Linked DNA regions of Arabidopsis thaliana. The protein of the gene in region 1 interacts with the protein of each later gene in a biochemical or structural test. Each region holds a gene or a part of one and is shown in the gene's direction. Other genes may lie near its edges. The genes, in order: PRPL11 and AT5G53920.

What was found.
Region 2: of the proteins of PRPL11 (region 1) and AT5G53920, one has a biochemical effect on the other in vitro, tested with the Arabidopsis thaliana proteins (one study listed by BioGRID).

The regions. Positions count from the first base shown.
Region 1 is NC_003070.9:11,953,857-11,958,137, forward strand, and holds PRPL11 (plastid ribosomal protein l11), read left to right. Parts: upstream 1-1,799; 5' UTR 1,800-1,970; coding exon 1,971-2,190; intron 2,191-2,281; coding exon 2,282-2,454; intron 2,455-2,666; coding exon 2,667-2,730; intron 2,731-3,071; coding exon 3,072-3,283; 3' UTR 3,284-3,546; downstream 3,547-4,281. Other genes in the region: AT1G32975 (uncharacterized protein), read left to right, coding at 1-43; AT1G32980 (Subtilisin-like serine endopeptidase family protein), read right to left, coding at 422-994.
Region 2 is NC_003076.8:21,889,895-21,894,972, forward strand, and holds AT5G53920 (ribosomal protein L11 methyltransferase-like protein), read left to right. Parts: upstream 1-2,088; 5' UTR 2,089-2,229; coding exon 2,230-2,469; intron 2,470-2,548; coding exon 2,549-2,653; intron 2,654-2,855; coding exon 2,856-2,996; intron 2,997-3,152; coding exon 3,153-3,218; intron 3,219-3,428; coding exon 3,429-3,596; intron 3,597-3,691; coding exon 3,692-3,973; intron 3,974-4,079; coding exon 4,080-4,193; 3' UTR 4,194-4,373; downstream 4,374-5,078. Other genes in the region: AT5G53910 (RING/U-box superfamily protein), read left to right, coding at 749-1,441; AT5G53930 (transcriptional regulator ATRX-like protein), read right to left, coding at 4,493-4,558, 4,655-5,078.

The DNA.
Region 1 (4,281 bases):
ATTCAACGTTCGCTACCCGGAGAGACAAAGACTTCTAGTATGATCCTTTACCAAAACGGAATCATGGCGTAAGTTGTTGTTTGCTTCTTACTTCGGCCTTGGTGTCTTATGCAGTTTCAGCCTCGACAATCATTTATATAAACAAAGCAAAGAGATTATTTGTATAGACTAAAAAATTCATTATAGGTTATTATTACTTTTTTCTCTTATGGATTCTCATCTTCTCATTTCCCCCTTTTTATCAATTGCCCTATATTTGGTTTTCTTCTTCCTCAAGAAACTTAATCATAAGCTTTTTAGTAGATTGGGATGAATATTCAGTAGCAATGTTATCTTTATTATTAATCCATCATTAACAAATCCAGTAGATTGGGATGAACAGAGTCAGACCAAGTCAAGCGACCAAAGTAGTAGCCAGTGTTCACTCTATGGCGAACACACGGACTTTGAACGAGAGCTTCCTCGTCTTAGCGTTGAATACTAATGTGCTTGGTGTCACGGTAACGTTAACACCCATTGGAGCCTCAATGACAGCCTTATAAACTGACCCTACTGGTCCAACGTTGGTAACGGTTCTAGTGATAATAACTTCTTTTGCAAGGTTTGGGATTGTGATTGAAGGCAATTTGAGGTCAAGAACTGAAGGTTTAGGGTTTGCACAAACCGTCTTCTTGCGGACAAGTCTAGTAATGGATGAATCTGTGTAACCAACGGAGCACAAATATAGAACATAATCGTTAACTCCCATATCGTAAACAAGACCGGGTTTCGCGGCTTTCTCTGAATTGACAACGCCTCCTCCATAGTCAAATGGATCAGCTAATTTACGGTTTGATCCGTCTGCGAAAATGGGTTCACCGGATGGATCTGTTCTCCAAGCTGTAGTAACAATAGCAGATCTAATGGCGGCCGGAGACCAATGAGGGTGCAAAGACTTAAGGAGTGCTACAATTCCTGCAACAAAAGGAGTCGACATTGATGTTCCTGATTTCATAGGAAATCCTCCGTCATAAAATGTATCATTTGGAGAAGTAGCTGCGAGTATGTTCACTCCAGGTGCTGCAATATCAGGCTGTATCAGAGAACAAAACAAGTCTCAGTTTAATCAACAAACTAGATGAAACTTCAGTCAGAAGTAACTACATGAAGACTACATTTAGGTATACATTTATAAAACCTAAAATTTAACTTACAAAGCAAACATCTTTGTTCAAAGAATCTGGTAAAGTTTGAGACTTATCAAAATCAGAGAATTTAGTAGCTAAGCTTGGAATATACCTTGAGAATTGCGGGAGAGATGGAACTAGGTCCTCGCGATGAGAAAGTCGCGACCTTTGTAGCCACGGGAAGTCCAACCAACGTTCTTGTAGGTTGAATCCTTGCGAGTGGCGATCTACAAAACCAACAATTGGATATACAGAATCAATAACTATTCTTTGTCAACCGTATTATTTTTAACATTTAACCAATATAAACCTTAAAATTTTGGGACAATGATCCTTCCATTTTGACTCATCAATAATCGTGTGAAATCGTATTTACTTAAATAAAAGAGTACATAAAAGTTGTGAAAAAACCGAAGAAGTATAAAAAAACACTGCTAAAAGTTATTTGAGAAATGTATTTTGATACTGCATTTAATTGAAAGGTATTACCTTGTTGACATAGTGACGGCTCCGCTATAGTTCCAGTCGTCACTATGCCACCACCCAAATTCAAATCAGCATGATCTTGACAACAACAAAAAACAAAAATCTCTTCCTTGGTCCATAATTCCATATAATGTACTCGTTTTCATGCAACATTTGATCCTAGACGACTACTACAGACAGTAAATGGGCTTGATCTGGAATCTTACGCCTATTTATTTAGGCCCATTAAGCCCATAAAGTGGGAGAACTAAAAAAGTGGATAGGATTTGTGAACTCGCTCTTTAGCTTTCACTAACCTTCTTCCTTCACAGTGAATCAATGGCGTCTTCTTCTCTATCAACTCTTTGCAGCTCAACTTCTTCTTCTCTACATCCCAACTCCAAACTCTCACATTCTCTTTCAGCTAAATTATCCTCCAAAGCAAATGTTTCCGTCCAATTTCTGGGAAAGAAACAGTCTCCGCTTCTCTCCTCAACTCCGAGATTTCTCACTGTTATCGCCATGGCTCCACCTAAACCCGGAGGCAAAGCTAAAAAAGGTACAATCTTTTCGCTACCCATTTCCTTAAAACCTAGAAATTCTCTTAATTTCATTGCTTGATTGGTGTTGTGGGTTTGGAATTTTTGTAGTTGTGGGAGTTATCAAACTTGCTTTAGAGGCGGGAAAAGCAACTCCGGCACCACCGGTTGGTCCGGCGCTTGGTTCTAAGGGAGTTAACATTATGGCTTTTTGCAAGGATTATAATGCAAGAACTGCTGATAAAGCTGGTTATATCATTCCTGTTGAAATCACTGTCTTCGATGTGAGTTTTGTACTCTCTCTACTACAAATCTTGAGTTTTTGTTTGATTAAGCTAAAGAAGAGTAACATTTGTGGTGGTAATTGGTTATCAAAAATGTGTTTTGCAATGTTTATGTGTATTTGGTATTGATTCATAACTTGTTATAGATTGGTGATGTGTTTCGAGTTTTAGGTTTATGAGATTGTTTATGGAGTTTGTATGTGTGTTTGCAGGATAAGAGCTTCACGTTTATTCTCAAGACCCCGCCTGCTTCGGTTTTGTTGCTTAAAGCTGCAGGTATTCTTTTGTTGAACCTGAATGAGTATTGTGACCAATAGGTTTATCTCTGTAGAATTGATCTTAAGGTACTTGCTTGAATCATATCTTGCTATTTGCAAAGCCTAATAACTTGAGTTTTGTTAGATCACATTATACGTGTTCTCCTTCTCAACCATATAGATTCAAATTTATAGCGTGGTAGAAGAACAAAATCATTCATGCCATGTATTTTGTGATGTTGTTTTCTGGATATATAGATTGAATGACATAATGGTAATAAGTTGTGGCAACTCTTACTTTTATTTTTCTTGTCTGTTCCTGGGAGTTTTGGGATGTTTGACGTTTGTTGGTGGAAATAGGTGTTGAGAAGGGATCAAAAGATCCACAGCAAGATAAAGTTGGGGTGATAACAATAGACCAGCTACGCACAATTGCAGCAGAGAAGCTACCCGACCTGAACTGCACGACCATTGAATCCGCTATGAGAATCATTGCAGGAACTGCAGCTAACATGGGGATAGACATTGACCCTCCGATTCTTGAACCCAAAAAGAAAGCAGTTTTATTGTAAAAGCCTGGTTGGTAGTTTCTATTCCATAATGCCTTATTCGTTTCAAAGTGTAATTTTCCAACATGACGCTTAAGAGAGTTCGATATAATGATGCAACATGTATGTGTTTTTTTTGTTTTTATCAAAAATGAAATTTAACAAGTGCAACTTGAAACGCATGAATGGTTTACAGTCTCAAGAATTGGTAAGGCATGTAATCATTGTGATTGTATACGAAACAGAACACAAATAAGGGATTATTTAATGCCAATGACCATTGTTTACCTCTCGTCTCTATACAAACCAAAGTGTCTTGTGTATTCAATTCTGATGAGCCGCTTATGTATAAGAGGTGAGACTGTTGGCTTTAATCCTACCAATAACTTCAGCTGCATCATGAAGAGTAGACAGAGATTCTGGCGGTTGAGGGTTTCTTCGTAGAGGTTGATCGATTCTTAATGTCCTGTGGATTTTAAGTTCCCAAAACTGTTGCTTAGGACATACAAGATCGTTCAATGTCCAAGAAGAAACCTGAGCCGCTACAATCATCGGTCTAATCTCTTTAGCAGATGAAGTTATTTGTGGTATAAAACCCACAGTTTTATCATGCATTCTCACATATCCATGATCCATCTGTACACAATTGGCAATTCTCAAACAATTATAGCGTTTGTTACAAATAAAATTCTTAATCAAGGTTGGTTCATTGTATCTTAACCATTCTTTAGTTCCTGTCTTCCAGAGTCTTTTTTTTTTTTCTGTAAACTTTAGGTTTCAAAAAAAAAAAAAAAAAAAAGTTTTAATATATATATACAAATGTAATCTCATTCGCTGTCCTTCCTCGTACGCATGTGCTATGGCTTTATCTCAAGGGACTGGATAGTCCGGATTTCTCACAAGTATAGGGAAACTAATCGTCTAGCGGATGAGTTAGCGAACTATGCATTTTTTTTTGCCTCTTGGTTTTCAGTTTTTTTATGTTTGTCCGGATGCTGTTTATTCGGTTATGTTGGAAGACC
Region 2 (5,078 bases), on another chromosome or scaffold:
ATGGCCTAAGAAGTATGAATACATATGATATTTTTATATTTAATGTTTAGGGTAAGCCGTCATAATTATCTTCCAAAATTTTGACTTTTTAAATTAGAAAAGTTTCAAATAAAAATATTCACCAAATAATTTAAGTTTTATCTCTAAATTTTAAAAATAGAGGAAACGCAAAATTCCATATTCTATATCAAATACTTATGATTTTATCATTATCTCATTACAAAATCGAAACCGAAATTCATACACTTTTCATTAAGGATAGCTTCGAGTTTTGACGTCAAATTTCAACAAAAGAGTTTCATTGCCCCTTCTTTTAACGTGGTACAAACTTACTTCTCATATAATGTTCATAAATATATGTACATACTTTGTTAAAATACTATAAAAATTGTAGTATTTTATTTTTTAAAATGTTAATTAGTATTAATACTTTAGTATATATTCCATAATTTATCATATTTTGGTAAGATTCTTCTTAGAAAGAAAAAGGCCAATGAGGAAACAAAAAAGTCAACAACAAAAAAGAATGTAAGGTAAGTTTTGGTCATGGAAAGAATTCACTACTGTAAATCAAATATTTAATTGGAAACCAATTATAAAAAGGAAATATTGGACCGAAAAATAAATAAAAGGTAATATAAATTTTCCAAATAATAATCCTACGTGGACTATTCCACCGCCTCAATAGAGTATAAATATAAGAATCTCTGAATTTACACATTACAAATCTCTTTGGTCTACCCACATCATGGAAGCTACTCCTGTATTCAACTACCATATTGATGTCAATCCTGAACGCAAAAAGATTGGCACAATCCAAGTCTATGTAAGTTTCGTCGGATCAGCCAACATGTCGCCGATACTAACCCGGTCTAACTTCTCATGTTCATTACCTGCCAATGAATTAACTGACGACGAAGATTCTCCCCACAAACAAAGACTCTATTACTTCTTAACAGATTCAGCAGTTGATTCACAAGATGCTTACACGTTAATACTAAAACTCACTCAACTTGCACGTGATTTAACTTCTAATTCGTTTGAATACTGTCCACGTTATGCTTTGTCAGTGTGGTTGACTCTTGATGTGGCTCCTTTGAATGAATATGAGAGGAATAGCGAGTATAGACCCGCGAGCAATTTAAGGGTCGGAGCCTTGAGCAGGAGAATATACAAGAGGAAACAAAAGACCAGCTCTATTGCTAACAAGAGCACAAGATACATGAGAAAACGAGAGACCTATTCTAGTGGTGAGTACAAATGCGCAATTTGTTTTCAGGAGTTTAAAACCGGACGAGAAGTTGCTACTTTACTTTGTGGTCATGAATTTGACAATAAGTGTATTATGGAATGGTTTAAGGTTCGCTACAATTGTCCATTGTGTCGCTTCGAATTACCACGTGAAGATGATCATATTCCTCAAAGAACTACAGATTTATAACTAACATACATTAACACTTAAGCGCTTTATTTGGTTTTATTTAATTTTAGGTATAGAGATCAATATTATACGGTTTTTGAAATGAGTAAGACACTTATATCTTTCGTCATAACTGATAACTTAGTGGTTTAATTTGTGCTAGTGTTGTCGTTGTGTCACCATCCATATTCAATCATGCATAATGCACGCATGTTGACAAATAAAATATTTATATCTATTATTACTTTTCCAATGATTTCGAGAGCTTCATCTCTTGATTTTAGTATATTTTCTTATGTTTTCCGTGTATCGACTTTAGCTTTTCAATTTGTTTTCTACGGACATTGTATTATACAATGAAAATAATAGATAAGTTCACAAACGTTATGTTGGTTACGTCTACAACCAAAAGAAAACAATGTTATTTGTAAAGGTTGGAAATTTGAGTGTTCTACGAGAAAACAAAAGTATATATATGACGCAACCTAGATTTAGGATAACCACTCAATATTTGTATTTAATTTTATTCATAGTAATAATATATTTAAAGCGTATCCTATTTTGATAAAACTTATCTTTCAGGATTTTCATGGTTTTCAGATTAAATATTAAATATATACTTTATATTTAAGGTTTCTTTTTTTTATTATGTATATCTTTGTATAATTAATTAAACCCTAAGCTTTTGTGTGTCTATTTAGACGAAAATATCTTTCTATCTACATTTTTGGAAATTTCCTCTTAATTTTTCTCTATTTGTGACTTGACAGCGTTTAAATTCGATAATTAGGTGAAAAAAAAAGAAGAAAATGTTAGCTTGGAATTTCATCAAACACTTTCCGTGCAAGAATCTCTCCCGCCATATCCTCAGAGACAGCAGAGTCAGACCTCTCTGCTTCTTCACTTCTTCTACTCCTCCATCCTCCTTTTCAATCTTTGCGTCTCTCTCTACTTCTTCTTCTTCCTCCTCCTCATCTTCGTGCTTCACTGATGAGTCTTTCGCTGCACCTTACCTCTCAGTTCGTATCCACTGTCCAAAACATGCCCTCGTATGTGTATCTCTCCCATTGATCTCTTTTAAGGATATGAGACTGCGATTTGACTCTTTGCTTGTTGGGTTTTTGTTAGGATCCATTCTCGGAGGCACTTTTGTGTTTTGGAGCAAGCTCTGTAGCTGTAGATGAAGCCATCGAAGAAGCCGACCAAGATGAGACTTCTCTTGCTTCAAAAGAGGTGAAAAATCTATGCTTTGATCGTTTTTTGTTCAGCTCCATTTCCAGAAAGCACCAATCTTTTGTATGATTGAACAATGTTAGAGCAAATTGATGCATAAAAGGAACGATTTTGCTCTTAGGAAGCATCTTAAGGGTTGATCTGTCTATATTCTTGTAGTCTCATCAATCATGCTTGTGCTCTTTGGTATTACTCTCTGCAGATATGTATAGAATCAATATTTCCAGTGCATGAAGAGGTGAAAATGTGCATTTCACAAGCTGCAAATTCCATAGGCTTGAAAGAGATACCCAAATTCAAAGTTGAAATGGGAGATGAACTTGACTGGATTACCAAAAACCAGGTGAGTTCTGAGTTTAACAAAGAAAGGATCATCATTTCAGTAATTGCTTTCATTTAAGAAAACTTGCATAGTTATGCTCAAAACTCAGCGCAAATACTATATTTGTTTTGCGGCAATGTCACTTGAAGCTAATATCTTTTGAATCATATTTTGCAGGATTTGTTTCAGCCTGTTGAAATCGCCGAGAGACTTTGGATTGTACCTGAGTGGACATCTCCTCCTGTATGTGTATAAATCAATATTCTTTAACAAAACCATTGCACTCATTTGGATTCTTGTTACTCTTTTGCCTTAGTTGACATAACGAAGAGCGGTCTTAGGGTACTGAATTTGCAGAATATGAATCACCCTCTTTCTGTGTCAGCTTATATAGAGGGATATAGAAAGTTATTATGTGTGGTTTTAAAGTACTCTTTCACTATCCTTTGCAAGGTCGCTGAAGCGGTAAACATAATTCTGAACCCTGGATTTGCGTTTGGGACTGGAGAACATCCTACTACTAAGCTGTGTCTATTGCTTCTACAAAGTTTGATAAAAGGCGGAGAAGCTTTCCTCGACTATGGTACCGGTTCAGGAATACTTGCAATTGCAGCCCTCAAGGTAAAAATCTCACGCCTTTGATCTTTCAAAAACCAATCATTACAACATAAATCATCTTATTTAAATCTTTGTGCATCGCTCATTTAAATTTGCAGTTTGGTGCTGCATCATCCGTTGGTGTTGATATTGATCCTCTAGCAATAAACTCTGCAATTCATAATGCAGCTCTGAACAACATTCCGTTGGAGAAACTGGAGCTGCACCTTGCACCTATTGAGAATAGCTCTTCTGGAAGAGAAATACCATTGCAAAAGGAACAGTTTGATGTAGTCATTGCAAACATACTCTTGAACCCGGTTATGAATCTGGCGGATCATATCCTTTCATTCGTGAAACCTGGGGCAACCATTGGCATTTCTGGTATCTTATCTGAACAGGTAAATAAAGAGTACTGTATTGTTATAACAAGCAAGCAAGCTACCTGCAAGTCATAGGAATTGAAAATTATACTGTAAACTGACTAATTCAATGCTCTTTTTGCAGCTTCCAAATGTAAGAGAACGGTACTCTCCCTTCTTGGAGGACATTTCTGTAGCCACAATAGGTGATTGGGTATGCATGAGTGGTACCAAGAAAGAGGAGTTTATTGATAACTAATCATTTCTTCAGTGTTATATCAGAAAACAGACAATAACATAAAAAGCACTAGTAAAGCAAAGGTAAGAACAAAAGTGTCTAATCATCAGACATTAAGAACATATCAGCCTTAATGGAGTTGTGTAAGAGGTTACAACTACACATGATATGAAACTTAATGAACTCTTCATTGTTGTATTCAAAGTTTCAAGTCTATGATAATAAAATTTGTGTTGTCACCAACTCTGGTTATAACCATTGTATTTAAATTCTACAGAAACAAAAAATCTGTCAACATAGACTATCTTCATGTCGTCGCTTCACCTGTTGAGTTTTCTTCTACCCAAAGAAGAGGCCTTCTTAGGAATGTAGACCTTGTAACTCACCTGAACACAAATTTCAAAAGAAAAATGTTAGGACTCAAATAGACATACCTGGAAACTACAAGGAAATCAATATTTCAAGAATTGCAGAAACTTTACCTGAACCATTTCTCCACCCCTCATCACAGTCATCGTTTTCTGTTCGTACTGTGACTCATCTTTTGTTTCATCAATTGTTTTCTGTTCAGACTGAGACCCTCCTTTGACTTCATCTACCTCCTCAGTGTCAGCATGAGAAGAAGACTCTGCGTTGAGCGTAGAACTAACTTTTGTTGGTTCTATGTGTTCACCTTCATTCTTTGTTACCAAAGCTAGAGTACTTTCTAAACAATTCTTGTCAACGGTACTGCCATCAATGCTCTCTGCTTCAGCATCTTGGCTACCACTAGCTTCTTTCTTGCTAGCTAGATTTAAACTATCTTTACTCAATACCGGTCTAACCAACTTTCGTTTGGTTGTACAAGAGCTAAGACCAGAACTAACTTTAACCTTGGCAGTATCACCAGACTGCTGATCTTGTTGA